4 linked regions of the Mus musculus genome follow. The protein of the gene in region 4 interacts with the protein of the main gene of each other region in a pairwise test. Links are inferred from orthologs where the notes say so. Each region holds a gene or a part of one and is shown on either strand. Other genes may lie near its edges.

The links.
Region 1: the proteins of Traf3ip1 (region 4) and Olfm1 interact in a two-hybrid assay, tested with the Homo sapiens proteins (2 studies listed by BioGRID and IntAct). The link is inferred for Mus musculus from reciprocal best matches to the Homo sapiens genes TRAF3IP1 and OLFM1.
Region 2: the proteins of Traf3ip1 (region 4) and Golga4 interact in a two-hybrid assay, tested with the Homo sapiens proteins (2 studies listed by BioGRID and IntAct). The link is inferred for Mus musculus from reciprocal best matches to the Homo sapiens genes TRAF3IP1 and GOLGA4.
Region 3: the proteins of Traf3ip1 (region 4) and Cdc5l interact in a two-hybrid assay, tested with the Homo sapiens proteins (2 studies listed by BioGRID and IntAct). The link is inferred for Mus musculus from reciprocal best matches to the Homo sapiens genes TRAF3IP1 and CDC5L.

Annotation. Positions count from the first base shown.
Region 1 is NC_000068.7:28,202,104-28,210,190, reverse strand, and holds the start of Olfm1 (noelin isoform a precursor), read right to left. Parts: upstream 4,503-8,087; 5' UTR 4,242-4,502; coding exon 4,092-4,241; intron 2,114-4,091; coding exon 1,964-2,113; intron 1-1,963. UniProt on the Homo sapiens protein: Contributes to the regulation of axonal growth in the embryonic and adult central nervous system by inhibiting interactions between RTN4R and LINGO1. Inhibits RTN4R-mediated axon growth cone collapse.
Region 2 is NC_000075.6:118,502,938-118,510,819, reverse strand, and holds the start of Golga4 (golgin subfamily A member 4), read right to left. Parts: upstream 4,503-7,882; 5' UTR 4,335-4,502; coding exon 4,263-4,334; intron 1-4,262. UniProt on the Homo sapiens protein: Involved in vesicular trafficking at the Golgi apparatus level. May play a role in delivery of transport vesicles containing GPI-linked proteins from the trans-Golgi network through its interaction with MACF1. Involved in endosome-to-Golgi trafficking.
Region 3 is NC_000083.6:45,429,206-45,437,197, forward strand, and holds the start of Cdc5l (cell division cycle 5-like protein), read right to left. Parts: upstream 4,503-7,992; 5' UTR 4,231-4,502; coding exon 4,186-4,230; intron 1-4,185.
Region 4 is NC_000067.6:91,516,252-91,523,658, reverse strand, and holds part of Traf3ip1 (TRAF3-interacting protein 1), read right to left. Parts: intron 5,366-7,407; coding exon 5,345-5,365; intron 4,082-5,344; coding exon 3,997-4,081; intron 3,604-3,996; coding exon 3,520-3,603; intron 2,776-3,519; coding exon 2,652-2,775; intron 2,473-2,651; coding exon 2,436-2,472; intron 829-2,435; coding exon 752-828; intron 1-751.

The DNA of each region.
Region 1 (8,087 bases), on a different chromosome or scaffold from region 4:
TCCATCCTGGTGCCAGCCTCATCTCCTCCTCTGCCATCAGCCCCTGGAGGAGCTGCTCCAGCATGCCGATACGATCCTCAGGAATGACTCTGGTTGGACCAAACTGGAGACTTTAGGGCCTGGGACCTGACCTGCTGTGTAACCAAGTGGATCTAACAGGAAGTCTGGTGGTGGCAATGCACAACGGGTCCCAGGGTGCAAAGAGACCCAAGGAATCCAGAGCCTTCTCTGCTGTTGCCTGAGATGGCAGGTGCCAGGCCGGGCCCCGCCCCACAGGCAGGGAAGAGTAGAAGAAAAAGGAGGAGTGCTGACCAGGCCCAGCCTTAGCGCACGAATGGGGAGCAGGCTTGGCTCATCAATGCTGGCAGGCACAGTAAATGAAGCGCCTCTTTCCAGCCATTGCGCAGGCCCTCCCAAAATAGAGTCTGCGCGGCGTGAAATGGGGCTTTAAATTTTTAAGCAGCAAAACTGTGGCCTGCATAGGCAGAGAGAAAAGCCGTGCGGCCTCATTCTCAGGAGCCCCCAGAGCTTTCTGGAACCATTTCCCAGCTTAGCCCTTCTCCCAGGGTCCCTTGGCTTGGGCCTCAGTACCTCCAGCCCCGCCCCTTTGCTACAGTTCTGAATAATTAAAGGCTCAATTAGGCTCCTGTCTAGTTTGGTGTAAATAAATGTCCGCAGGATCTGTTAAATATATTTTACTTGAACTCTTTTCAAGCTATTTACTCTGGTGGCTAAAGGTGGCAAAACAGGCCAAGACACCAACACACGCTCCACCCCTTTGGGGGGGGGGCAGACTCACAGGTACCATGATGGAAATAAGGTCCCAGGTCGCTCCCACACAGGGACTGGCAACAACCTGAGAGTCATCTCAATGCCCAGGCGCTTCCTGCCTTAGCAGCTGAGTCTGCCCAAGGTATTGGAGCCCAGCTGTAGCCCAGCTACAGCTGGGAAGGCTGAGGCCTGGCAGGGATCAGGCTGGGCTCCAAAGCCATTCTGCCTTTGCAAAGATGATTTCTGTTCCCAGGGCTTCTCTTCAAGTTTACAGAGGATGCCTCGCCCCTGCAGATCTCACACAGGTGAGGGCTTGAAAAGTCCAAAGCCAATCAGTAGGGAAAGCCCAGCTTTCTGGGGTGTGTGTGTGTATGCGTGATACGTGATCCACTGTCTCTGAGTAGGAAGGGTTCATGCCTGGAGGCATCTTTTCTTGGGAGAGGGAGTTGGGCAGGGCGGAACAGCCCCTCATTTTCCCTTTTCCCCATGGTAGCACTCCAGGGACCTGTAATAGTGAAGTCAGCTGCAGAATCTGGGGTCCCTGGGGGCAGCCTATAGGTACTCTTGGCAAGAAACAGAATCCCAATAGGAAGATACTGGTTCAGTGATTAGAACCATCTCCCTTTCCAACCAGCTGTGTAGCCTGGGGACATCAAACTGAGGAGTGACCAGTGCCACCAGCTGTGCTCAGGTCTTGTGACAATGAAGTGAGACAAGACTCAGAATGTGTGCATAGAAACATCGCTGCCCTCTTGTTAGGAAGCAACCACTAGGAGCATCCATGCGGGCAGGGGGGACTTGGCAGGTGGGACGGAGACATCCCCACGGACAGCCTGTGTGCCATATATCAGGAACCCACCGTTTCCCTGGCAGCATTGTGGAGCCTTTGGACCAGACCCTGAGCATTGCTCAGAGGAGAGATGGCATGTGACGAAGGAGAGCCATGCTTCTGGCTTTCCCAACAAGCTCCTTCCTAGAGCCCTCAGAGCCCAGGAAGCAGGTGTACTCATCTCCCAACCAGGGCCACCCTTGTCCTCTCTCCATTCTCCTAGCCACTCGGTCATCTGCCCATTCATTCAGTCACAAATGTTTAGAGCGTGGGCCATGCCAGTGAAGGCCCAGCCAAGCCTCAGGCCGCCACACTGCACTCTGCATGTGCAAACTCACACATCAACCCCTTGCACGGACTCACCTTCTCCAGTAGCTGCCTCAGCTGTTTTGTGCGGGCATCCCGCGAACACATGGTCTGCTGGGGGGCGACCACTGTGCAGATACACCTGCCCTCACTGTCCTGGGCAGAGCTGTACACCTGCCAGCTCTCCTCGGGGTTGGTGGGCAACACCTGGAGAAGGGCAGGCAGGGAAGGGCACGAGGAGAGAAAGAGAGAATGTGAGGATGAGGGAGACCTGTACCCAGGTGCTGAGGTCTCAAAGAATTGGAGAGGAACAGTGCCTTAAAATGCATGTTCAACCCTGGGTGCTCAGAGTTTTGACCTCTAACCAAATTAATGCCGGGGGAGGTGGGAGGGGCCGCCGATGCACTAGGTTGGGTGAGGGGGCCATATAAGAAACCAGTAGCTAATGGCTTAGGGAATCAGATACCCTCTTCTTCCAGCAAGATGCTGACGAGCCTTGAGCTCCTGTTCCCTAACACTTGGAGACAAGCACAATTGTTATGAGTCCTGAGTCGGCACCTAAGAACTGAGAGCAGCAACCCTAGAGCTGTGTTGTCTCCCGAACAAAAGCAGCCTGGCTCAGATGTTGATTTCCAACTCCATGAAGCTCCCCCACGCACTAGCCATTTGGTGGATGTCAACAAATATATTGTGTAAGGGTCACCCTTAACCTCAATCCTGAGGGTTTGCCCAAAGACCACCAAGGACCCAGAACTGAGTGGCTGGATTCACCTTGCAGGCCTTCTATACCACCCATGACCCTGACCTTCAGATACACAGCAGGGGCAGAAGCCACCAAGGCTCCTGCATACACACCACCATGACCCCTGCCCTCCAGCCACTGCAGCCTACCCAGTCTCCAAGCCCTTCCCTGGCATCCTGCACTTCCCTGCTATTTTTAGATAAGGATGGGAAGAAGGCAGAGAAGCAGGTAGTGCTATACTTCATTTCATTCATCCAGCTTAGGACACAAGCATCCAAAATCCTTATCAGGGAAACTCATGGTGATATTTTTGTTTGGCTTTTTTTTTTTTTTTTTTTTTTTTGAGACAGAGTCTCATTACGCAGCTCTGAATGTCAGGGAACTCACTCTGTAGACCAGGCTGGCCTCAAACTCACAGAGACCCACCTGCCTCTGGGATTTAAGGAGTGGGACACCACTCCCAGTACCAGGGCACTAGGAAAACTCTTTTTAAAACAACAGGAGAGGCAGACCCTACAAGAGTGATAGATGGTGGTGGTGGTGGTGGTGGGTCACACCACCCAGCTCTTGGGATCAAACTGGAGGAGAATGGTCCCTCACCTGTCCTTTCCACTGAGAAGGTTATGCCAGGGTCCCTTTCCAGTGGCCCCTGACTTAAGGGTGGTCTCTGCTCAGCCTGCTCCATCTATCATGGAAGTCAGCCTTATCCAGACCCTCCACCCAACCCCCAGCCATAGCTCCCCATCCGCAGGCTGCCGATGACATGGAGATTCGATTTCCGTGTCAGAGGCCAGTAGAGAGGGGTGGGTGAAGACAGATCGGCAGCTGGGTCCCGCCCAGCTCCTCTCAACCTCCTCCAGAGTGCACGCTGAGATCTTCCAACCGAGATGAGACCGGAAGGGTCCCTTGGGATTTGGGGGGCTCAGGTGAGATCACAAGCTCTGGTCTTTTGCCTTGGGCCCCACTCTGCACTGGTCCAGTCCGTCTTTTACAAAGTAGGGCGAGCTGAGTCCTGGCTGGACCTAGCCCACAAAGGGTTTTAAGCAGCACCTCCACCCCTTACTTGCTGAGTGACCTTGGCTAAGTCCCCAAGTCCCTAGCTTCAGTTTCCTAAGCTTTGCAAAGAAAGATTTTCTAATATTAGTGAACGAGGACTCTGGACTTTGAACCCCTCCCACCATCACCAAAGCAGGTGTCCTCAAGCCCCTCCGGGGGACTGGGAGCAAAAAGCATCGCCCCGAAACGCCAGAGTGCGAGTGGCGGCCGCAGCTGAAGGCACTGCTTGGCTGCAGGGCAGAGGGTGGGCTCGTGACCCCGGCCCTTGTAACCCTCCCTCCCAGGGTGACCCCATCCTGTGCCGCACCGCCGGGCCAGCCCGGGGCTCGACCCGAGAGGAGGCAGGAGGGAGGAGGGGCCGCGAGGGCTCAAGGCGGGCGCACTTACGCCGGTGCTGCGGTCCAGCGTCCCGCCGCTGGCGGCCGAAAGCCGGGTGGTATTGAGGCCCACCAGCGAGGGCAGCGTCTGGGACATCCAGTTGGTGATCATGGCCATGGTGCTTAGCACGACCCCGATCTTCAGCAGCGGCACCGACATCGCGCCTCGAGTGGCCTCCTGCGCCCGCGCCGCGCCGGCGCCGGCTCCCGCGCCCCGGGCAGCCTCAGGCGGCGGGCACCACGGCGGGCAGGGGCGCCCGGCCGCGTCCCCGCGCCCCCTCTGCCCGCCGCCGCCCGCCGGTCTCTGCCTCCCTGTGCGCACTGGCCATCGCCGCGCCGCCCCGGCGCCGGGAGGTGACCAGGCGGCCCTGCCCGGCGCGCGCTGCCTGCCCGCGCTGCCCGCCGCTGCAGCGTCCCCGCGCGCTCCGCTCTCGAGAAGGGCCACCGGGTTCTGAGCGCGGCGCGGGCTGTGCGCGGGGGCCGCGGCCGGGGGGCGGGGACAAGGCCGGGCGGCGGCCGACGCAATCTGCCCAGGAAATGGGTGGATTTTTCCTCCGAGCTCCGGCTCCGCGACGCCCCCTGGCTGCAGGCAGCGAGGTCTGCAAACCGGTCGGCCGAAGAGTTAGGGTCACCCAGGAGGACGGATAAAACGCCGCCACAAATCGTAAAAAAAAAATATAAAACCTCAAGAATCTCGCATGGCACCCATCCACAGAACACCCCCTCGCCCAGCTCTCTCGGTCACCCTCACGGTTTTGTCTCGCCCAGGCCCGGCCTGCTTGTGGTCAAGGGTCTCCTCCCCTGCTGCTGGGCTTGCCTTCCCTGGTGGACTAAGTCCAGTCAGTTTGGGGTGTCTCCTGAGCCCCAGCAGGAAAGAGTAGCTTGGGTGGAGTCTCCAGTGTCAGCGCAGGAGTAAAGAGGTAGCTACAAAGTGAGAGACACTGCTGGGAACCTTGGACAACTACCTCAGAAGGAGGGGACAGTTGGAAGTCCTAGCGGGGGAACACCCTGGGCTTGTGGGAGCAGGTTTAAACAGAGAGGGACTGGAGGGGGGCGGTATGCCTGCTGTGCACAGTAGAGGATGAAGGAGAGAGAGTGTGCCAACCTACCGTCAGGAGCTGCTGGAAGCATAGGGCTCAGGAGGAACTAGAGGGGCCACACCCATGATTGTGGGGTATGGTACATGCACGGGGGGCGGGGAGGGGCGGGGTTAGAGTATCTGGCGTCTATGCTGTAGGCTTAGATGGACAGGGGTCCCTCGCAGGGACCCAGATCAGGGCCAGGCAAGCTTCAGCAGTATCTGTGCCAAGACTTGTAAGTCTCAGCAAAACAGAACAGCCGGCAAACACAACTTCATAGTGCTTTTGACTTTGAAGCAAGCCCTCTAAGCTGAGGAAAGCCAGTTTCTGCAGGCATTCCTCCAAGTTGTTCCAGTCCCGGGCAGGGAAAGCCAGCCTATTCGCAGCCCCCTACCCCTGCGCTCTTTCCCACCTGGTCAATTATAGACCAGGAAGAGATGTCAGAACAAAGGCAGGCCTCCTGGGGTCTGCCAAGAGGGATATGACATCTTCCGGGGGCTTGTCTCTCTGTGTTCAGTCCTCATTTGCAGAGAAAACGTCAACAGCCAAGATGACCCTGGCCCGAGTGCTGGGCGTGAGCCCTGCTGGCTCAAGAAGTCAATTGGAGTTGTTTCTCTGGTTAATGCATGGCATTCATTGGTGCCTCCAGTTTGGGTCAGATGCCAGCGAATTACAACTGTTAGGGAAGGGCGCCATCTCTCCGTGAAATCTGGTACTGCAGTCCAGTCACACCCAGTGGTCCTGCTGGATGCAGCAGCCGGAGATGCAAGGCTCTCTGCCCTACATCCTCTGCCAGGCATTTTCTGAACAGAATCAGGGCCGTGGCTGTGTCTACTCACTTGCTTCCTACTACACAAAGGTAAGGAGCGCTTAATGTTTATCAACAATTTCAAATCCAGCCCAGTACAGTCCTCAAAGTTCTCAAGGCGTCTCAGGAGTCATACCTTTTATTGAATTCCTACTTAGTGCAAGATACACAGTGCAACATGCTCTAAGCTCTGTGTCAGATGCAGCATAGAGACCATAACTGTCTTTGTTAGGCACACTCCATGGCCAAGCACCATTAAACCTTTCCTGCTCTCTAATGGGCAGAAGTCCCTCCCAGAGGTCAAGTGACCTTGGGGTCAAGGGGAGCTCTGCTATGAACTTGTATGAGACAGTGACCTAGCTAATGAGCTTTATTGAGACTCAGCTCTCTCATTTTTAAAATGGGCTTGACGATAGTAGCTTTCTCCTGTGATGTGTTAAGAGCGTAGGAATAAGACTGGCCTGCTCTGGTGACAGTCATTGTCACCTTTTCAAATGATAAATATGGGTTCAGCCAGCAACCTGTGCAAGGCAGGCTGCGGAGCTGGGCTTTGATATAAGGTGTGATGACCCTGAGCCCTCTGACACACCTCTGGAGCTGCTGTCAGTCAAATATCACAAGCAATGCAAGTATTTCCTCATAAGGAGAGAGGTGGGGATTTATAACCATATAGATATAGCCATATATCCATATAACTATAGTGGTTTCAAAGAGTTCCTGACTCTGTGTTAGGTGAGTGATTTCCACAGGATCCACAATTGCTGCCCTGAATTGGAGGAGTTTAACTTAGCTGGGCTTTTGAAAGGAAATGGAATTCAGAGTTTGAAACAGTGAAGCTTTGGTCTGGTCAAGTAGTCCCAGGAACAAGTAGGTAGCCTTTCGTACCACTGGCCAGGAACTGTCTCCCACCCTCACCTCAACAGGTCACTGTGGAATGACAAAGATTTGACCTCCAGCTCATACTTCTTCTAAGCCTATGTAGGGAGCCAGAGGTTCAAGGCTTCCCTAAGAAATGGATTAGAAGCACTCAACGTAGTTGATCAACTCACATAGAATGCCTCAGAGTGGAACTGGCTGTTGAGAACCAAGCTGACATCGAAGGGCAATCAGTAGGCCAGGTGGAAGGAAATTCTAACCCTACCCACACTGATGCTTGTCGAAACTGGTCACCTCAGAATGTGTCTAAATTGACAGAGAACTGAAGAAACACACATCTGATCATTTCCTAATGCGATTGGAACAGAGGTGTACAGTGAATACAGAATTGCCCTTTCAGCTCTAGCTCAAGTTTTTCCACCCCACCCCCACCCCCGAAGCCTGTACACCTGCAGCCACACCTGAGCCTCTAACTTGAATCCAGGTCTCTCGACTTGCACCTGCATTTGTGTCTTTCCACATGTACCTGAACCTCTCCACTTGCATCCATACCTGAGCCCCTCTCATGTAAATTGAGCCTCTTGACTTATACCTGAGTCCTCCTGCTCCACCTGCTCCTGTGTGTCTCCACCTTTATCAACACCTGAGTCTCCCTTACCTGAATTTGAACCTCTCCACCTGCATCTGAGCCTCTCCATCTGCATCTGAGCCTCTCCACCTGCACCTGAGCCTCTCCACCTGCACCTGAGCCTCTCCACCTGCACCTGAGCCTCTCCATCTGCACCTGAGCCTCTCCACCTGCACCTGAGCCTCTCCACCTGCACCTGAGCCTCTCCACCTGCACCTGAGCCTCTCCACCTGCACCTGAGCCTCTCCACCTGCACCTGAGCCTCTCCACCTGCACCTGAACCTCTTCACCTGTATTCCAATCTCTCCAACTGTACCCTAGCCTCTCTCACCTGTACCAAGTTGCTCTGACTTCACCTGGGCTGAGAGGCTCAAGCTAATTTCTGCCTACTCTTCCAGGCCCAAAGCAAAGTCCTACTCAGTCTTTTTACAGATTTGGCAGGAGGGTCTACTGTCCCTAAGGCATTTGTGAAGGACATCTGAAAGAGTTGGCGTTAAGTGCCATTTGATTTAGTGTTCTACACAGAACTTCCAGAAGTGATCCTTGGATTGTGGAAGAATACAGGCATTTACATTAAAGCATCCAAACTCAAGCCCCAATCTCTACCTGATTTTC
Region 2 (7,882 bases), on a different chromosome or scaffold from region 4:
CAGGCACGCCATGCACCTTGTGAGCACCCTTCTCAGCCATGCGAGGCAAACGTAACACCCAGCGCAGCACCTGTAGGCCCTGTTAAGTGAAAACAGTGTTGACCAATACGAATGGCTTCTTGCAGTTTCTCACTCTGGGTCTTCACAATCAATCTGAAAGGTGCAAAGAGCACACAAAGTCATACCCAATTTCCTGATCCGATTAGACGCGTAGAATGTTTACACGACTGCCCAGGTTAGACACTTCAAGAACGAGGTTAGCACAGACCTCCTAACTCCCTGTCCACCTTACCACTTCACTTTAGATGACTAGCTCTCGAACTTCTCTGGACTCACAGTAAAAATAGTAATAATAATATTAATAATGTCACCATATTTCCACCCAATTCACATAGAGACACCCCTAAAACAAAAGCTTTTACCATCTTTTGTTTTAATTAGTGCAGGGTATAGAGGCCTCAAGCCCAGGTGTCCAACATCTAGCCAATCACCCGATGGCTGAGCTACACGCACAGTCTTCACAGTACGTAGATTCTGTAGCAGGAGACATAATTTCTTTTTCTTTTCTTTTTTCTATTCTTCACACACACACACACACACACACACAATGAAACATGATCATATCCGTCATCCATTTCCCCCTCCCCAGACCACCCCCCTCTAAGCTCACCAGTGCTGCCCGTCTGAGTACCGGTGTGAGGCATCCAGTAAAGTGTGAGAAGCCTACCATAAATAAGAGCTTCCACAGATGCTCCCCTCTCCGCGCCCATCCCCCCCCCCCCCCCTGCAGCTATCAACTGGCAATAGCTGCTTACTGAGGAGTGGATCCTAGAGACCCTCCTCTAATTGTCTCTGTCTTCTAACCTGTGTGACTTCCAGGTCCAACTCACAAGCCACCTGGAGTACTACTTTCACTGTGCCATGCTATCTATCTCTGTAACCTTGAAGTTCTTCTATCTGGCAACCAAGTCTCAAATCTACATACTTCAATGTATTTCATACTTTTAACTATGGTTTAAAAAAAAAACAGGAATTAAAAGTATTAATCCCAGGTTGAACAACATGATTTAAAGATAGGAAAAACACAAAATTTGAATATTCATATTAGTAGGATATGCTATTTTAAATTTACTGTACTAGAGGCCGCATTACCTGGAAGGCTCACAAACACTCCAGAATAAATTGTTAGAAAAACAGGTACAATTCTACACTTTCAAATCTCTTTAAGTATCAGTGAAGTTTAATTACTGTGAATTAGTAACTCTGAAATCAACTAATCCCAGCTTTCTAAGAGAAAAGGAAGCAACATTCACAGTATTTTTTGGTCAGCTAGTTACTACAGGAAGTCCTCTCATCTATTACAGCCTGCCACTAGGAACTGGACTGCTCTAATTATTGGAGCTGTAGACAAGTATGAGAAATATCAAAATGAGGGGTTTTCAATGTTTTCTCATGAGCAATTTATAGCAGCTATGGACTCACTAGCAGGATGCTCATGAGCCTTTTGACTAAGCTCCTGCCCCTTAAGTTCTGCCCAAGCAGATACACTTTAAGAAACAGGTGTGGCTTTGGCTTGCACCAACATACAGCACACCTGCTCAGTAACTCCTCCCCCCCACACACACACCTAGGCCAGGGACAGGCCACTGGACCTGTCCTCACTACAACACTGCTCCAATCACTGCGAATCAACTTGACATTCCAGAGTAGGAAGGGTTACCTACCATGGGCTTAGTCTTCACACAACATCTGCATTTCAATCACTAGTGGGAACTTTTCAGCATGCCCTTAATCGAGCATCTTTGTCATTTTGCAATCTACAGTGGTTGTTCCAGAAATGAACCATCGTTCTTATGGTATAAATACTTCACCTCCTAAAGATGGTCTTCTTCTATGTGAAATTCAGCCATCCAAAAATAAGGCAGCTTCCAGTTAAATACGGCATATGAGCTACATATGGCGTCCTCCACAGAGTTAGTAAGTCTCAAGCAATTTTCAGAAGACTGGAGATGAACGAGAAGCAGAAGCGGTACCAAGTTCAGCAGAGCTGAGGTACTGCAACGCCAGGACCCACACAAGGTACTGCTGCCATGGAAACAAAGCAGCGTTCATCCCAGATTCTTAGAAAGCCTCAGGTCTTAAAGCAAAAGGTATGAGCCAGCTTTAAATATAATATCTTTATTTAAAAATAAAGAGGCAAGCTCAGAAACTCACAAGCCCTGAGCTCTCCTGTCTCTCTCTACACTGCCAGTGGCAGGAACATCAGGCTTCTCTCCCGAACAATGAGGCTTCAGGCAGGGCAACAATAACAAAGTAAGATGGGGATAAGGACAAAGTACACAGATAAGGCCAAAGGCCTGAAGGATGCGCTGCGGTGTAGAGCAGAAGCTTCCCTCACTCCCTGGGGGTGAGTCTGGAGTGGGAGGGTCTATAGTGCTACAGTGGAAGATTGCTGTGCTTCACTCCTAAAAATACATTTCTTATTGCCATAAAAAGTGGGTCACAATTCATATGCTGCACTTAATTTGTCTCTTGTAGCATCTCTCAGTCTATGTAGACAATATTTGCCTGCAGCTCTGATTCTATGTAGCAGTTGCCTTTGGGTCTCATCACATTTTCATCTATAGGAGGAATAATATTTACCTCATAGGTTTATGAGGTCTAAGTAATCTATACTAACTACTAAATAAATGTGGAGCAGAGATCCAAATCAACGTTGTTTCTTTTTAGCGCTGTATAATAATCAGCCCCCTGGTAAGAATGTATCCAGCCAATTCTTTACTGGCCCCAGAGTGCTACCATTAAAACAGCGCCAGGGCTAGCAAGACAGTTCAGATGGTAAAATGCTTGCCTGAGTTTCCATCTCAGAATCCAGGTTAAAAAAGACAGCTGTGGTGGCACACTCTTGTACCCCAGTGCTCAGGAGGCAGAAAGGTGGATTCCCTCGGCCTGCTGGCCATTGAGCCCAGCCTATTTGGTGAGTTCCAGGCCAGGGGGTGTGCTGGAGAAATGGCTCAGAGGTTAAGAGCAATTGTTGCTCTTGCAGAGGACCAACCCACATAATGGTTCAACCATGCATGACAAGTTCCCTGGGATCCAACACTATCTTCTGGCCTCACACAGTGTACAGACATACAGACAGACAAGACACTCACATAAAGAAATCCAGAAATCTTTTTTAAATAGTAAAATAAAAAGAATAAAGCCCGAGGGATGAGGAATGACGACACCATGGTTGTCTTCTGGCTGCCACCTGCCCACGCGCGCACACAAGAAAAAAGAAATCGTGTAACTAAATGTTTTTGCATCCTAAATCTTCTCAGACTATGTTTCTAGAAACAGAATGCTGGGTCGTTATATTTAAACACCCAAACTGCTTCCCACTTAGCCAAACTACGACCTTTCTTGAGCCATGGGCTTTCCAGGTTTCTAACCATAAAAGAAAAGACGTTCGTGTTCAATCTACTGATATTCAGGGAGACTGGGGAGAGATTCAGCAGAAACCCTCCCCTCCCGTCCTTCACACCCTGAGTGCTGGAGAGGGGTAGTTTGTTTCTAACACGAACACGCCCCCTTTTCCCAGCCCGAAACCATACTCCCTTAAAAAGCAACGACCTTCCAGAAAAGATGCAAGAGCCCGGTTGCTGACAGGCTCGGTGCCCGTCCCGTTCAGTGTCTGCCCCTGAGCCCTGTCCGCCATCACCCAAGTTACACGAAGTGACTAACTCGTGACAGGCTTGGTCGCTGGACCGCCGCCCTCGGCTCCTGCGAGCAGCCTGGCCCGGGCAGGCTCGACTCTCTGCCTCGATCAGGGTTTGGAAGCAGGAGACTTACAGGGACCTGGTCATTCCGGGTGCGATGTCCAGGGAACCCAGAGGACATTGGTCATATATGGGGCAGAGGGCAGAGGTCACATATCACAAAGGATCTGGGTTGCCCCGCCCCCGTCACCACTCTAGAGTCAGGGTCTCTGACGGGCGAGAGAAGCTCCCCACGCAGGACCCGAACCCATCGCACCCATCTGTCAGACCGGGTCGGTCCTTAGAGGGGAAACTCCGAAGTCAAATGTCCCGACCGGTCCCGTCACCCTGCACAGGGACGGAGTTTTGGGAGAAACCAGGCCAGGGTTCCTACACCGGCTGGGTGGTCCCAAACCTTCCAGGGCTACGGTTTGGGGGGGGGGGGTGTTCCTGGGGCGGAGGTCAAAGGTCATGGGGAACTTTCGCCCGCTTCCCGGGCCTCGGCGCAGGGGGACGACGTACCTGAGCAGGGGCTAACGCCTGCTGCAGCTGCTGCTGCTCCTCGCTGATCTTCTGCTTCAGCTTCTTGAACATGGCGCGGCGAGGGGCCGGCAGCGTCTCTACCCGCGGGGCGGCCGGGCCCGGGCCTCGCCGCCTTCCTGTGGAGCTGGCGGGCACCTCGGGGCGCTCGTCGTGCGGGTGTCGGCGTCGCCGCCGCCGCGTCTCTTCTTTCTGGGTGCCCCTGGCTGGCCTCGGCCCCCCATCCAGCCCCGTCAGCGGCGGCGGCGGCGGCGACAACGGCAGCAGGTGAACGCGCCCCGGGCGCCTGCGCGGTCGACGTGGAGCTTGCCAGGGGCTTGCTACGGAGCGCCGCGGCGGACAATATGGAGGCGGTGCGGGTGAACGCGCGTGCACAGTGGCGTCTGCGCTGACTCTAGCGGGAGTCTTGGAGCTGTGCTGTCAAATAGGGAGCATCCCACCACTGAGCACCACAGTGAAGAAGGCTGGGGTGAGAGAGGATAGAGCTAGGAATGCAGAAGTGTATTCAGTGTCGTGTGGCACGATCGTTTAGAATTCTCTCGAAAGGTTTTTGGATAGTGGGTTGGATGGTATAGATGACTAGTTGGTTCGCTGGTTGGCCAGCTAGTTGGTTCGTTGGTTCATTGGTTCATTGGTTGGTTGGTTGGTTGGTTTAAAGAGAAAATCTGGGGCTGAGGGTGTAGAACGTTTGTTTACCTAGCATATGCAGGAAGGATTGGCTCTAGCCTCAGCATCGCATAAACTGGGTGTGATGGTGTATACCTGTAATCCCAGCATCCAGAGGTAGAAGCAGTAGGACGAGAAGTTCAAGGTCATTCTTGCCTATATGAATTTAAGGCCAGTCTGAGCTACAGTGAGATCCTGTCTCAAACATAAATAGTCTGGCTGAATTAGGCAGACTGGCCTTGAATTTGTTAACTAAAGTGATTTTCCTGCCTCCAGAATAGCTGAGGCCTACAGGTGCACAATTTTCTGCCTAGTCAGAATTATCTGCCTTTAGTGCTTAATATCTGTGGCTGCACTCCAAAGGAGCTGTCTTCCCCTACCTAGACTTTTCCATCTGCTGAGAACCCCCTACACTTGCACAACATAGAATATTTCTGAAACCTCTGCTCACAAAGACCCATATGACCTCGAAACTCTGGGTTCTGCACAAGCTACTACCTGGATGGCATCCATTCAGTTCTGATTCTTTGAACAGAACATTAAGAACTGGTGCATGGGGGTGTACACCTTTAATCCCAGCACCTGGGAGGCTGAGGCCAGGTGATCTCCGAGTTCCAGGCCAGATGGGCCTATGTTACATAGGGACACCCTGACTCAGAGAGAGAGAGAGAGAGACAGAGACAGAGACAGAGACAGAGACAGACAGAGACAGACAGAGACAGACAGAGACAGACAGAGACAGAGAGAGAGACAGAGAGACAGAGAAAACCAGATCCACAGGTTTAGGCCTCAGTCCCACAAGACTTCCAATGCCAGTCACATGCCAGAGGAGGAGATTCGTAGTCAAAAACCTAAGTGAAGGAGTCCTGTCTCTGGGCATATATACTACCTTGTCTTAGTTTGCCTGCAAGAATTCAAGTCAGAAAGCTGGAGACAAGAACTGAAGCAGAGCCAAAGGGGGAGTGGTGCTTGCTGTCCTGTTCCCAGTGGATCGCTCAGCTTGCTTTCTTATACAACCCAACACCACCTACCTGGGGTAGAACCACCCACATTAAGCTGGACCCTCACACTATCAATCATTAAACAAGACAATGCCTCCACAGAATTGCTTACAGGAAAGGTTATGAGAGCTTACATTTTAACCAGATGGCGGTGGTGGTGGTGCACAACTTTAATCCCAACACTAAGGAAGCAGAGGCACTTGGATTTCTTAAGTTTGAGGCCAGCCTGGTCTACAGAGTGAATTCCAGGACAGCCAAAGCTAAGACAGAGAAACCGTGTCAAACAAACAAGCAAACAAGCAAACAAAAAAACAAGAACAACAAGCAAACAGAAATACTCTAGCAAAAATAACCAATGGGGTGATTCCACATGAATAAAACTAGAGATGGGCAGTGTTTGGGTCAGAGTTCTTTCTCTAAAGGAGCAGAGCCAATGGAGTGGATATATAGACACATGGGATGTATTAGTCTGACTGACAGACCGTGGCCTGGGTAGCCCAACAAGGTCTGTCCAGATGTGAGGGCTGTCCAGATGTGAGGGCTGTCCAGATGTGGCTGATCTCCACAATTCTCCCTCACACACAGTAGCAGAGTCCACCAACAAAGAAAAGCCCAGAACTAAACAGGCTCACAGCTGAACTCTACCATACTTTTCAGAAATTGGCAATCTCGACAACCTGGAAGGAGCACAGCTCGTTAGTATTACACTAATGCCCAAACTAGATAAGAACACACACACAAAGAACACTGCATGCCAAGTTCCCTGATGAACAAAGGCACAAAATTTCTCAACACAATACAGATCAGATAAGAGCATTCGATGCTTTTGCATAGGACCTTGGTTTGGTTCCCAGCACCCAAACCACATGGTGATTCACAACCATCTGTAACTCCAGTTCTGGGGGCTCTAAGACTCTCTTTTGACCTCTGAGGACAGCAGATATACATGTGGTGCACAATCAGAAATGCAGGCGAAATACCCACACACAGGAAAACAAAAGCTCTTAAAGCTACACGCTACAAACATCTAAACTCTAAATTTATTCTAAATGGAGGAGAGCAGGAAACATGTCCTGCAGAGTTGGGAGTGCAGCATGGGGCGCTAAGAGAAAAGAAAGAAAAGGGATCCGGACAGAAAAGGAAGAAGTCAAACATTTCCTATTCACAGATGTGATCCAGTATCTCAGAGACCCTGAAGACTTCATCTGAATTCTTAGATTGAAGAAATAAATACTTACAGTCAAGCCATAGGATATAAAATGAACATCAATAATCTGTAGTTTTCAACATCCCAATGATGTGAACTTTAAGAGGAAGAAATCTGGAGAGGATTCCCTTTATAGTAACCAAGCAAAACAAAACAAACAGGCCACCTAGGAGGAGAGCCAATCAGAGAGCAAGAGATGCCTGCAAGGAAAGATGTAAAAACACTGCAGAGAGAAGTTGAAAAGGACACTAGAAGCCAGCAGGCTCTCCCCTCTCCTCCCCTCCCCTCCCCATGGAGCCACAGAGTTGACACTGTGGAAATGGCTGGCACACATACACATTGTGCAGGCAAACACAAACCCATGTAAATCTTAAAATAACAACAGGAGAACTTCTAAAGCACATACACAAGTAAATGCAATAACGAAATTAAAATATAAATCCCAAGACTCAGAGAGAGGTCAAACATCTTACCCAAGGTCATATAGCTCACACACCATTTTTTTCCATTTTTTATTAGGTATTTAGCTCATTTACATTTCCAATGCTATACCAAAAGTCCCCCATACCCACCCACCCCCACTCCCCTACCCACCCACTCCCCCTTTTTGGCCCTGGAGTTCCCCTGTACTGGGGCATATAAAGTTTGCGTGTCCAATGGGCCTCTCTTTCCAGTGATGGCCGACTAGGCCATCTTTTGATACATATGCAGCTAGAGTCGAGAGCTCC
Region 3 (7,992 bases), on a different chromosome or scaffold from region 4:
CTGGCCTCAAACTCAGAAATCTGCCTGCCTCTGCCTCCTGAGTGCTGGGATTAAAGGCATGTGCCACCACCACATCCAGATGAATTGATCCATTCTTATCTCCTTGTACAAAGCTCAAGTCTAAATGGATCAAAGAACTCCACATAAAACCAGAGACACTGAAATTTATAGAGGAGAAAGTGGGGAAAAGTCTTGAAGATATGGACACTGGGGAAAAATTCCTAAACAGAACAGCAATGGCTTGTGCTATAAGATCAAGAATTGACAAATGGGACCTCATGAAATTGCAAAACTTCTATAAGGCAAAAGACACTGTCAAACACAAAAAGGCCACCAACAGACTGGGAAAGGATTTTTACCAATCCTAAATCTGATAGGGGACTAATATCCAATATATACAAAGAGCTCAAGAAGCTGGACTCCAGAAATTCAAATAACCCCATTAAGAAATGGGGTACATAGCTAAACAAAGAATTCTCAAGTGAGGAATACCGAAGGGCTGAGAAGCACCTGAAAAAATGTTCAACATCCTTAATCATCAGGGAAATGCAAATCAAAACAACCTTGAGATTCCACCTCACACCAGTCAGAATGGCTAAGATCAAAAATTCAGGTGACAGCAGATGCTGGCGAGGATGTGGAGAAAGAGGAACACTCCTCCATTGCTGGTGGGATTGCAAGCTTGTACAACCACTCTGGAAATCAGTCTGGCGATTCCTTAGAAAATTGGACATAGTACTACCAGAAGATCCAGCAATACCTCTCCTGGGCATATGTTCCAATTGGTAAGAAGGACACATGCTCCACTATGTTCATAGCAGCCTTATTTATAATAGCCAGAAGCTAGAAAGAACCCAGATGTCCCTCAACAGAGGAATGGGTACAAAAAATGTGGTACATTTACACAATGGAGTACTCCTCAGCTATTAAAAACAATGAATTTATGAAATTCTTGGGCAAATGGATGGATCCTTAGTGAGGTAACCCACTCACAAAAGAACTCACATGATATGCACTCACTGATAAGTGGATATTAGCCCAGAAACTTAGAATACTCAAGATACAAGGTGCAAAACAGAAGAAAATCAAAAAGAACGAAGACCAAAGTGTGGATACTTCATTCCTCCTTAGAATAGGGAACAAAACACCCATGGAAGGTGTTACAGAGACAAAGTTTGGAGCTAAGACGAAAGGATGGACTATCCAGAGACTACCCAACCCAGGGATTCATCCCATAATCAGCCACCAAACCCAGACACTATTGCACATGCCAGCAAGATTTTGCTGTAAAGACCCTGATATAGCTGTGTCGGGTGAGGCTATGCCAGTGTCTGGCAAATACAGAAGTGGATGTTCACAGTCATCTATAGGATGGAACACAGGGCCCTTGCTGGTGTGTCACCCAACTTCCCTATTTTCTTCTGTATAAAAAGTTTGATGCTCGATTTGACAAATTACATTCAGATTCTACACAACGTCTCCTGTGTGCATCTGTCTGTCATTCCATACGACGCTTTGCCCACCCGAGACTGGAGACCCGTTCCACACAGACAAAGGGGCCCAGAGGGTCTGCGGCAATGGCCTAGTTGGCCATCATTGGGAAGAGAGACCCAGTTTGGTCTTGCAAACTTTATATGCCCCAGTACAGGGGAATGCCAGGGCCAAGAAATGGGAGTGGGTGGGTAGGGGAGCAGGGTGGGAGGGAGGGTATAGGGAACTTTTGGGATAGCATTTGAAATGTAAATAAAGAAAATATGTAATAAAAAAAGGATTTATTTATTTATTTATTTATTTTACGTATATGAATACACTGTAGCTGTAGATGGTTGTGAGCCATCATATGGTTGCTGGGAACTGAACTCAGGACCTCTGCTCACTCAGGCCCCTACTCGCTACTGCCCAAAGATTTATTTATTATTAAACATAAGTATACTGTAGCTGTCTTCAGACACACCAGAAGAGGACATCAGATCTCATTACAGGTGGTTTTGAGCCATCATGTGGTTGGCTGAGATATTAACTCAGGACCTTCAGAAGAACAGTCAGTGCTCTTAACTGCTGGCTCACCAGCCACAGAAAAAAAAAAAAAAAAAAAAAAAACAGAAAAAAAGGACATCTTACCTGGCCCTCAACAAACTGGAGGTGGAAAAAGTCAATGTTAAAAACACTACTTTATGACAGACAAAATTATTCACTGGCATGTACCTGCCATTCTCCTCACAAAGTTCACATACATTTATATATTTTCTCAAAACAAGAACAAAAAATTTCCTGACTATCTACCTTGAAGCAGGTCTTCTATACTTCTGGAGAGAGAATCAAAGAAGAAACTTGAGACTCTGGTTCAACACAGTTCCTCTCTGGCAGGCATCCTACTCACAACAGCCCAGGATCCACAGCTCCTCTACCTCATCAGTCAGCGCCCTGTCTACCTACTCCAATCTCTAAAAACCATTTCACCAGAGTACCCAAAGTATAGCCCAATCCCCAGACATCCTGCCACGCGAGCTCACAGACCTAAGAGTCATAGATGAATGCACTTGAGCACTTTACTTTTAGGCTTTTTCTACAATGAACTTGAATTGCCTGTCTTCTACATAAAACCCTCCACTCCATCTTCTCTCCCACTGCTAACTGGTAGCATACCCACCTAGCATACTTTAAGTCCTGGATTAGATTCCCATAAGACTTTACACATGACAGTACACACCTCTTATGCCAGAACAGGAGAGGTAGAAGCAGGAGGATCAGATGTTAAGGGTCACTCTCATCTACATAGCAAGTTCAAAGTCAATCTAAGCTACATAAGACCCTATCTCAGACAGACAGACATCGACACACAGACACACACACACACTCTGCTGGGTTTTGGCCATTATAGAGGAATCCTGATGTTACTTGATTTTGTGACTCTGCTTCTTCCTCAGAAGCCAACTCTTCTAGTTTAAATTGTCTTAGTGCATGCAAGTCCCTTTTCAGTGCCTCCATTTGTAACTTTGGTAAAGTTTTTCAAAACTTCAACGCATCTTCAACCAAATACATACAACAGGTACCTATCCTACAAGATTCATTCCCAAACATCACCAAGAAACCTGCTTCATACTAGAATGCCAAAGCCTGGTCCTACTATACTGCTGTCTGATGAAGACAACAGCAACTCATTTTTTTTACTGAAAGCCTACTAATGTACCCAGCTGCGTTCACAATGTTCCAAACTGGCAACTCGTTTCAAGAGCTTAAATACAATTATTTATTTGTCTTATAAAAATGAGTAATCTGAGGCTCTCAGAAGTAACTCAGCCGGAGCCACACAAAAGTGCTTGTGAAAACAAAGCTGTAGTAAATGAAAAATAGGTGCCACCAAACCACTAAACAACTAACTCTCAACGGGACGACCAACGAATGGGCCAGGAGGACTCTAAGAAGTGTTCTCAGCTAAGTTTGGAGCATGTTCAGAAAGATGCCAAAGCAATAAGGAGCTATCTCAAGAACGCACAAGACAGACGGAAAGGTGCTCATACATTCGGCGCACTCGATTAAATGCACGTTAACTTAATTTCTATTTTACTTCCTTCCTTCTGCTGTTCCGCTCACCGTGACATAATCTACAACATTTCTGGACGCAAACACCACCGTAGGTAAGTTTGTCCTAACTGGCTTCTATCCCGGCAAGGGTGGCGTGACTGGAAAGGTAAGAGAAAGGACCCAGGTCCTAAGATAAGCAGAGAGGTGCAGACGTAAACGGGCAGCCTGTCCGGCTGTAAAGAAGTCACGGAAAAAACAAAGTTGCAGCCACAACGGCTTCTAACAGAGCGAAGCGCTGTGCACGAGCTGAGATCGAAAGGAGCTGGAGAAACACCAGGCTCCGGGGGAGGTCCGGTCGGCGGCCACCGGGCTGCAGAAGACACCGAGGGGGCGCGTCCCTAACTGATCAAATAAGTGATCAAGGGCCTAGCAAATGCCAAGCGAGGAGCGCCGGGCGACAAGTCGCGACCTCGCCCCCGGGGTGAGCCAGGTGACCCGAGCCCGCACCCATGCACCGCGAGGGTCCCCGGGGTCCGCGCAGTCGCCGCCCCGCACCGCAGACCCCCGCGGGACAGCCACGGCTCCCGGAGCTTCCCCGCGCGTGCGCACACGCTACCAGAGCCGGCGGAGGGCTGCGGACGGCGGGAAAAGCTGCCTCACCTCCGTGTTCCTCCACACTCCCCCTTTGATCATAATCCGGGGCATCTTAGCGGCAGAGTGTCCCGGCAAGGGAGCCGAGGAGAGCTTCGAGAAAGTAGTAACGGCGCTCCGGGCACGGGACGCAAAAGGCCACTTCCTCCCAAGAGCGACCTTCTGCTTTGAAGAGCTCTGCGCAGGCGCGGCGTGGGCAGCCCCGGGAAATCTCGCGAGATCTTAGCGGCCGAAGGCAAAAGACGCGGGCGGCCAGGCTGCAACCTTAAGACTGATGGAGACTAATCAAACCGCAGGTGCCAAGGCGCCCGACGTGTCGCGCGCAGGTCCGAGACTAGGGTGAAGGAAAACAAAACTCTCGCGAGATGCCAGAGTTGGAACTTGACCGGGAACGCAGTGAAGGGATTGGTCCTGACGTCACGCGGAGGGCAGTGCCGGGGGTGGGGAATAAATGTGAGGGGTGTGGCGTTCCTCAGCACGCTTGGTCCCCAGGGAGCGCTGTTTGTTTGTTTGTTTGCTTGTTTGTTTGTCTGTTTGTTTAACGGAGCGCTGCGCTGGGCATCCCGGCGACCGACGAGGACTTCGCTGAGTCCTCGGGGAGATGCAAACGAGTCCGTTCTCTTTCTAGGAGCTCCAACTCGCAGCGCCAAGCGCCGAGGATGCCGGACGGACTCAAGATCCTAACTCTAACCTGAGGGACTGAGCGACTGCTCGCCCCAAAGTGTTCGCTCTCCTTCCTGGAAGAGCCACAAGGGGTTCGAGGCGACGCCCTAGGGACCCTTGGGAAGCGTCACGTCAGCCGCTTTCCCTCATCCCTCGCTGTTGGGTGTCTGTGGAACAAACTCGGTGAGTTGCGGGAGTCTCGCCCCTGGAATCCGGGGTCGTCCTCTGAAGAGTGGAACAAACAACTTGTTCATCAAATCAGAGGGCGGCTGCGAGTCCACAAAGTCTCGGTGAAGTGGAAATTGTCAGACTCTCTGCCATCTCCTCTCTCTTTTCCCACGCAGATTTCTCCACTATTCCAGAGCAATTAATTACTTGGTGTCACCCCAGGTCCCTAGGGAAAGATTTTATTCCGTGCATAGCGGCTCTGGTTTGTTGTCACTGTTCATGCTTCCGTTTGCCCCTTCTAGAAGACATGACGGATTTTCCGATTCGATTTTTGTTACGATTTTTTTCCTTGAAATAGGAAATTGTATCAAAATATCACTGCTTTCAGTTGAGAGGGAGGTAGTGTAGTGTTATGAAGAACACTTGGGTTTAGTGACCTACAATCTCATTTCACTCCTGTCATCTGACAGGATGACAGGTTAACAAGCCATTTTCTGCCTCTGGTACTCTTTGCAATGCTCTCTTGTAAAGATGTGTAACCATTACCTCCTGCCAACATCACTTAGTTGTATGGTTTTTATCCCACACACCCAGGTCACACACCATTTGGTTGACCAGATCAAAGCAAATCTGAACACTCCTCTCTGGGGATCTTAACGCTAGGATCCAAAAGAGGTCAGTGTTTCTGCTAGCTGATAAGCCTCTAACCTACCAATTGTGTGGCACCTAACAATTGTATTTTGAACTACATGGTCCCTGGATCTAGAACATTCCCAAGTCGTAACTACTTCCATATCCCCCTTTTGGATTTAGTCATTGAAGTTAGCTTTCCATTATTTGTAATCGAGAGGCCTAATAAATCCACAGTTGAACCAGTCCTCTTTCACATAGGCTATTCCAAAGGATCATGACAGTGACTTCTTCCACTCAACATTCTGTCATCTTTATGCTAACTTTAAAAAAGGTATCTCTTCCTTAAAACATGTTAATGTCACCTGCTAGAAAATTGTTACAAAGGATTGGTATTTTGACAACAGAACATACTTCATCAACCTATTGAGATCTATCCTTGTCTGTGGTGTGGATTCAAGTCAGATGCTCCAATATTGCCCCTTTTATTATGTGAATTAGTCCTCCAAGTGCCATGTAGGCCCCTCTCTGCACAGCAGCCCTGGCAACTGTCTTTGAACATAGGTGGTGTGTCCTTAGGATGCAGTATCTGAGATTAGCGCCCCATATCCAGAAACAAAGAGATAGGTTCCACATCTTCCTCACTCAGCCAACATACATTTTCCCAAATGTCCCTCAGAAAGTCAGTTGCATGGGAAACTCTATAAATACATGTTTCATGATTACTTCACTTCAAACAAACAAAAAAAGACCCCACATTTCCCATCCTCTACTTTACCAAAATGAAAGCCAATAAGAACTTGTAAAATGAGGAAGTCTCTTTTTCCCTGTTGTGAGTTGAAATACATCTCCAAGTGGATACATTCCCATCCTAACTCTTGGTACCTATACATGTGAACTCATTTGGAAATATTGTGGAGTCTTCACAGATGTGATTGGGTTAAGATGAGACCATACTAGTGTGAACTCTCCAGCCAGCTATCTAAGGAAAGTGGTGTGTACTTTTAATTCTGAGCCATTCACCACAGTTCCTCTTACTGCGCTGATCATGCCTGGATTCCTGTATATCTGACTGATCCGTGGCGTGGGGATCTGCTTTAAAACAAGTTAGTTATGCTCCAGAATACACATATACAAAAGGATTCATTGGAATGATTTTGGAGCTGTCATAGTTGTCACACACAGTTACACTATTCAAAATAAACACTTGAAAATGATGTTTGATAACTCCCTTCTATAGTTTTCAGGACTGTGATGACTATTCTTCGTTGTCAACTTGACTATATCTGGAATCACCTACAACCCAGAAATGGAGAAGAGCACACCTGTGAGAGATTGTCTGCTTAAAGTGGATGAATCCACTTCTAGTCCAGACCTTTGAGGTAGGAAGACACACATTTTTAATCTCAATCTCGAGGTGGGAAGACACAAGTCTTTAATCCAAATCTTAAGAGATGTCTTTTGTGAACATATGAGCCATACTTTCAGCTGGATGTCTGTATAAGGACGTAAAAGAAGGAAGCTTTTACTCTTTGTCTATCTGCTCTTGCCTTGCTAGCACATCCATTCCCTCACTGGTATTACAACCTACTTCTGGATTGCAGCATATACTGAAGACCACCTGAGACATGCAGCCTTGTGGGACTGAGCAACCACTAGATTTTTAGACTTTTTATTGTTGGATTAGCTGGACTACAGAGGAAGGAGAGAGAGATTGATTCCATAAGTTCTGTGACTCTAAAGAACCCTGACTAATACAGATTTTGGTACCAGAAGTGGTTCTAGAGAAGCAGAAGTATAAGGATGAATCTTTTAAGTATCTGGAATAGGCATTTCAATTCGCCGGCACCTTCAGCTACTGAAGTCTCTCCAGTCACCCCCTCTCCTGGGAGCTTGGAGAGTACTGAAGGCCCATGGTATGAACTGTATTACAAACTTAAAGAGATAAATGAATTTGATTATCCTGGCTCACCAATTGTGAGCGACAATGGATTAGGTGACCCTGTATATGAAACTTTTGACAGTTTGGGGGAAAATAAGGAAAATGATGCTGCTGGTTGGTTGCTTTTAGCATCTCTGGATAAACTGATAAAGGATAGGAATGAGCTCCGGGATAAAATTAACCAACTGCAGAATATGGTGAAGGACAACAAAGAACTTAATGATAAAATTGACCATCTTCAGATGCTCATAAACAATCTAAAGGTTTCTAAGTGTGCCCTGGAAAAGAATCTTCTCTCCAGCAGCCACAAAGCTCAGTTTATGGAAAACCAAACTGAAGCTCTCATTATTCGGTTAGCCGAGTTACAGGGAAAATTCAAGTCCCAGCCTCGGAAAGTGTCAGCAGGTAAAGTA
Region 4 (7,407 bases):
TTTTTTTAAAACAAGGTCTCACTGTGTAGCCCTGGCTGTTCCAGAATTCAGTCTCTAGATCAAGATGGCCTTAAATTCACAGAGATCTTAGCTAAATTACCAGACTTTTCAGCCTTACAAGGCATAAAAGGTAACAAGTGCAATCTCACTGCAGGGGCTGCACACATCAGCAACGACAACTGACAACCAAGTGCTCAGATGTCAGATCTGACAAGGGACATTCTCATTGAAACCACCGAAGTCACCAACTCATTCACCGTGTTTCAATGTCCCATTCTCCTACTTAGTATGACTTAGCCTTTCTTTTGCGGAAGCTTCCTGTGTTTGCCTCTGACCTTCCTGGGGGCTGACGGCAGACAGGACAGTATGTGCCAGTAAGAAAGGCCCTAGGAGCAAGACACACACAGAACTCACAGTAAGATGCAGGCCTACAAATCCCCAGCTCTCAGTCCACACTGACCCAGGGCCAAGAGTCAGCTTGTCACTGTCACAGCAGCCAGGAAGAATGAGCAGGCCAGGACAGAGGGACGTTGTGCAATGAAGACACAGCAGCCTCCCAAACAGCTGCTACCCAAACACCACCTAGGGAGCCGGGGAACGGGACTCCACAGACCAGAGCTGCGAGCTCTCTGTGCCTCAGCTATGAGGGGAATGGCACTGAAGCGCGTGACCTGCATTACTGATTTTAAATCAATGAACACTGTAACATGTAAAGGACTTTTCAAACGACCATGTCAGGCCTGCTCCTTACCTTCTCACCAGGCTTGAGAGACTGCTGCAATTTCTCATAATCCTTCTTCGTCTCCAAGATCTTCTTCACGAGCCCACCTGTTAAAAATCAGTAGGTTTCAGCTATGGCTTCTTATCTGCCCCAGGAGCTGCTCATTACTCTTGGATCTCATCTCAAGATGAGATAAATGCTGAATTCTCATCCCTCCTCTTTCCATATCAAAATGCCTTCCTCGGATGCTAAGACAAACCACAGCAGCACCTTCTACTGGCAGAGGCTTGTCACAGGGTCCCAGAGGCTTGTCACAGGGTCCCAAAGGCTTGTCACAGGGTCACAGATAGGAGGTTTGGAAATAAAAAAGGAATGTGATTAACACCCCAAAATGTAACTACCCATGCAAACAGCGATTATAATGGTTTCACAGTGCTGATGCCTCTTTTAGATTGGGCAGGAATACTAAACTTCTAGAATTCTCCATGGTGTAAATTACTTATGAAAAATCATCTTCTTAAAAATACCGTTTTACAAGAATATGTACGATGCTGGGTGTGGTATTATCAACACTGTAACCGAGCTGTGAACCCTGTGAACTTCAACAATGGCCAGTGTGGCATGATGCACCCATGGGTGCTACAGTGGCACCAGTGTTATGCAGGCAGCCAGCCACTTTCTGACTGAGTTTGAGACCCATTGCACAGAAGGAAAGTTCAATATAGTCCTGTACATGTGGCCCAAAACTTATGCTTGGGGAGCTTGCCAGCCCCAGAGGAAAACTTCTTTTCTACTAAAAGGACATAGCATCAAACTACCCACTAAGTCTGTATGTCTGTATGCACAGACGATGGTTAATGTGCAAACTCACAACCAAAGTGTCAACACAAGCTCAGCCACAAGTGGGACATCTACACCGCACCCCTCATCCGCCCTCCAAGGCTTAGGAACATTACGGGAAGAGGAGTGAAGCGGTGGATAATAGGGGGATGGAGAGAAGTGTCAGAATGTCAGTCAACATTCTATCATGAGCTGCCCTCTCTTATGAGCCCTCAACCCCACCCCCACCCCCACCCCCAGTCACATTTTCACCTGCACTATCAGGGAGAGGAATATAGGGAGAAAGAACAAAGGAGAAGTCTTAGACCTCAGCACTGGGTGGGGTGGTGCAAACTTATAGTCCCAACATTCACAAGACAGAAGCAAGAAAATGATCAAAAGGAGATCTCCACAGTGAAGTCTGGGCCAGCCAGAGCCACACAATGGTACCCTGCCGCAAATAACAACAACCACAAAACAAATGTACACCTCTCAGTGCAGCTGGCTATGGACAGTTAACCTTAAAGCCACAGGAAGAATTACATGAATAAAAACCAAAACTGAGTTGGATGTGGCATATGCCTAGAATTCCATTGTTGAGGAAGCTAAGGCAGGAAAATGGAGAGTTTTGGACAGCCTGGGCTACATAACAAATTCTATTCTCATGTTCATGTGTGCATATAAGCATGTATAGACACAGTTTCTTGGAAAGACAAGATACGATGCCACTATGCTTGGAGTCCACTCTGATCTCAGGTTCTATGGCTCCCCCAGGCCCACATGGCAGCAGCAACAGTGTCCCTCCTAGGACCCTGTGGCACAGGATGGCCACTTGCATCTTCAGAGGACACAGAGAGCCCACACACACACCGACAAGAGCACGGTCCATACTCACCGTGCTTCTCCTCATCCTCCAGCTCCCCTGACGGCACCTGAGCGGAAAGGAGAGAGATCAGGGAAGCCTTGTTACTTCAAAATAAATAAATAACAAAAACACAAAGAAACCAGACAGCTCACTGAAAAATTAGAGAAACTGTGTCTACATAAGCTGAAAAGCCAAGTCCTCACTTTTGAACGTGTGCCTAAGAACAGGGCCCTCGGGGAAACTAACCATGTCAATGTCTGCGATTTCTGACAGCTGAGGGGCAGCCTCCACCACAAACTGCTCGTCATCCTCATTGTCAGAGTTCTGGGAGTCGATGATCACACTGGAGACGGTTTTACCACTTCCCGACCTAAGCAGCAAGAGTCATTACATTAGAAGTGACGACCCATCAGCCACCAGTTGTTGTCAGCCCCTTGCATCTGGAAATACCACAGTTCTCAGAAAGGAGCTGAACTGCCATTGCCCCAGACAGGTGAAGGGAACTCTCAGGGAACAGTGGGAACAGGGAGAATATCACCTCCCACACAACAGCCTCCATGTTGCCCAGAGCTCCAGGCCACCCCAGCCCTCTACCCCAGCCTTTCTAGTCCTTTGGCTCTGCCCTGTTTGCTGACGTTGACTCTAAGATAGACCAAGGGTGGCACAAGTGGGCCCTGTGGGTCACGTGACTTGGGACCGACCCCTTTCACAGGGCCACGCCTCTATCCAATACCGCTGCCGTGTTTTCAGCTCGGAGTACCTGTTGTTTAACTCTTGCACAATTACACCTTCAGCTCTCTTCCTTTTTACACTTTGACAGTCTTCTATCTAGAGGTCAGGGAAACACAGCCAGTGCTGGCCCATGCTTTCTGAGGCATCTGATACATGAACACACGTATTTCTCCCTTTTGCCAATCTGGAATGCTTGCTGCTCTGTGGTTTAAGGCAGTGATCTAATCCTCTATTTCTTCAAGGTAAGTTTTTCTTTTTCCTAGTACTGAGTACTACACCCTACCAAGTCTTTCAGCACAGGCCCAGACCTTGGCATCCCACAGTCCAGCACTGGGGAGTGTGGCTTCATTGTGACTAGAACCCCCTGGCCAGGCAGCCTCACCTGTCTACCACCAGTGTCTCTGTGCTCTCTTGTCGTTTGACCCTGGGAGGTGCTGGCCGTGCACTCCCAGGCCGAGGTATTCTTCTAAAAAAATATTGGAAGGAAAAAAAACAGACTGTGAAACACACACAAATCTCAATGTGGACAGGACAAATAGGCAGGCCAGCACTAGTGTTCACTCCCATGCCACGGTCGGCATGACACTCAGACTCTCTGCAGAGGAACACCAGCCCCATTCAATGGGCACAGCTGCCATTCATCAGAGCACCACAGGCCTTCCCATTACTAGGAACTTCTCCAAACTGTACAATGCTCCAACTCAGGTACAAGAAAACTAGACAGGTAGTTTCCGCTTGCTTTGCACAAATAATCCCTTACGCCACAGAACAAGTGTTGACTGGGCAGCGGATGCTATGGCAGGAAGCCCCACACTGTCCTAGGCATGACCACACTCCCAAACCCCAGCGGAGGACACACCTGAGGCTGGAGGGAAGCTCACTGGGAACTTCCGCATTCTCCATCACCTCCGGCTTATCTTGGCCAGCAGGTCCAGCTTCTACTTCTGAACAGGGGACAATCCAATCAGCATTCAAAAAGAACTCAATAGTAACAAAAATAAATTTACTCAAATATAAATATCAACAAATTAAATATAAACATCTGAAAAGGCATCAGTCAAATAATTGAAATGCAAATGAACTCTTTTCACCCATCACTGATGAGGTTAAAACTGACAGACGTCAGACATCTAAATGTGGACATTTGGGGACATGGGCACACTCAAGTTCTGCTAATGCACAGTGGCTGACCAATCAAGGAATAAAGGGTGATGGAGCCAAAAGAACTGAGCCTGAGGAAAAGAACATCGTGCACAGACGGACGGACAGACAGACAGTGTGGCAATCGCTCAGAAGCTCTAGCCCACTCACATGTGCACTCCTCACAGAGCACAGTGACAGATCTCAGTCACTCCCGCGGGGGCCCCAGGAGTGTGTGTGCTTCAGTTATAAAAACAAAGACCATCAAATGCCTTTCACTTTGTCACGCTGGACTCCATTTCTAAAGTATCTACAATTACACTGGGTGCTGTATTCTTTGAACAGTCAGTACATAATTTTCTTTGTATTTTAAGACAAAGTCTTACTAGGTAGCCCTGAATGGCCTGGAGCTCTCTTATGGAGGTCTCCCTGACTCTACCGCCCAAGTGCTGAGATTGGAAGTGGGCAGGATCATCCGGCTAAAACACAGTGTTTTTCATTTTAATAAAAAGGCTAAGACAGCAAGTCACAAATCAAAATTACTAAGACAATAGAATTTATTCTACTATTTAAAACAAAATAAATTTATACTTCATAAAACAGTAAAATTAGAATTTTAACATTAGAAATAAACATTATGCCGGGCGTGGTGGCGCAGGCCTTTAATCCCAGCACTCGGGAGGCAGAGGCAGGCGGATTTCTGAGTTTGAGGCCAGCCTGGTCTACAAAGTGAGTTCCAGGACAGCCAGGGCTATACAGAGAAACCCTGTCTCGAAAAACCAAAAAAAAAAAAAAAAAAAAAAAAAAAAGAAAGAAAGAAAGAAAAGAAAAGAAAGAAAAGAAACAAACATTATGCACTAGAAAGAACCCTGAAATGTGACCTTTTCAAAATTCAAACACAGAAATGTGTATGGCCCACATACAAAATGGAAACTTAAAACACAGCAAAATAGATTCATCAGGTATATTTCTTTAAAGTAAAAAAACAGTTTTTAAGCACAGAACTGAGACTCCGTTTGACATGTGCGCACGCATGACAACACCCAACACATCAGAAGTGCTCTCACCTGCATCGCTGGGGGAGTCACCTAGAAAAGAAGAGGAATTATCAGGAAATTAGCCTTTATGTAAGGGAGCCACAGCACAGTGGTCGCTGAGCAATCAGGGGAAATACAGCTGCTAGGGACAGGGGTCCCCGGGCCTTTCTCTAGCATCTCGCCACCAGTCTGTTATGGCCAACCAGAACCATAAAACTGCACATTAGAGGGAGACTGTGGCCTGGCCGTGGTGGCCCACACCAGCACTCAGGAGGCAGAGACAGGCTGATCTCTTACAGCCAAGGCTACCCATAGAGGAACGTGTGTCAAAAAAATAAGACAAAACGAAAAAAAAAAGTAAAGGAATGTGAAGGACTACCTACGCCACAGAGCTAAGGAAGCGAATACTCAAGTCACAAAGCCACAAGAAGCATGCTGGGCCAGCAGGACCAGCAGGCTCAGCCCACCCACCAGAACTGACACTACGTCTCCACCAGCTTCCCACAGCATTGTCACTAGGGTCCTTTCTCCTCACATGCTACACTCTGCGCACAAACATGGCCCAATCAGTCAAAAGTGCCACAGGGTGAATTCGAGACCAAAGCTGCAGGCTGGGGATGTGGGAGTGGCACAGCCTGCCAAACATCCAGAAGTCCCTTGGGTTCCAACTGGGGCACTCCCAGACAACAAAACTGAAGGCACATAATCCTTGTGACACACTTAACATCCAGAACATGTTTACAAAAGGGCAGCATGCTGAGGGGAGGAGCACCTTGCTGGAGAGAGCAGCACACGTTCACATGTCTCCATAGGAGAGCAGCCCTGCATGTGCCACATGAGTACACAGGACATCTTCTCATGAGCACTGCAGCAGAGCTCCTAGACAGAGTAATCTGCGGGAGGCAGGAGTTCTTGAGGCCAAACAAAAGAAAAAATGAGCTAGGATCTTTTCTCTGCAGGCCCCAGGAAACCCCAATGTTTCAACACAGAGCAGGGTAATTGGTCAGGGACTAGACACTAAGTCAGTATGAAACTGCAGGGGACCAGAGACAGCAGTAGGAATCCAGAACAGTGCTCTAGGCAACGGCATGAGGGATTCCACTCAATCTAGGAAGAGGGCACAAGAGCATCCTTAGGTCCTTGCCTGCCCATAGACCTGCTGTTTCCTGCAGGCTGGGCTAGGCTCTGCTCACCTCTGCTCTGATCTTCAAGCCTTAGTGAACACAGAGCTTTTGAAATCTAACCTGATCTATGTCACCATTACCATAAACGTCACCTTTCCCAGTGCTCTGCACCAAAGCACTGAGACCTCCTGACTATGACTGCATGAAGTCTCCAAGGACCTGGCTGGGCCCTCTACTCTCCCCTGCCCACAGTTTGCTTCTCATGCTTCTACTACAACATGCCAGCCAACGCAACTCTTCCTGGCCGTGAGCTTCATTGGGGACACCTTCCTGTGAGGAAGGATGGTAGGCTCTCCTGTTTCCCAGGTCACCCTCAGTCCCCTACCCCTCTCCTCCAGCATCTCCTGTCTAATGATTTCTCTCTGTGTCTGCAGCTTCACCTCAGCTCCTGTACCACCTCCAGAGCAGGCAGCCCCCGCCACCCTTCTTTCCCATGCATTCATGGCCTTGGTCCTGACATAGTAACTCGCAAACACTCTGTATTTAAACTAGTTGACAAACATCATCCTTCACCTGGCTGCACTCAGTAGCACAAGGCCAGCCTGCGGGAGGCTCCCAGGCTCTGGGATCACCTGAGGGTGTTCGACCATAGTCCTTTGTAAGGTAAAAGTAGCTGAAGAAAACGTCCATCCAGACTGGAGCCACCACAGACCATCACGCGGCAGCCACATTTTTGGCTGTCTAAAGTCCTCTGAGCAGGAGTGCCCTGCAGGGCTCTGAGCAGTGGCCTTAGAACCTGTTTTAGAGATCATCTGTGACACCCCTAAGGTCACAAATGCCACCACTTCACATTAGGGCCCAAGAGTGTCTTGCCTGTGCTACCAAGGAATGGTCTTTATGGGAAAGACAGGAGTGAGTCCCTTGCCACATCAAGCGTAAGCTCAGCCCTGGCTGCACCCTGAGAGGACA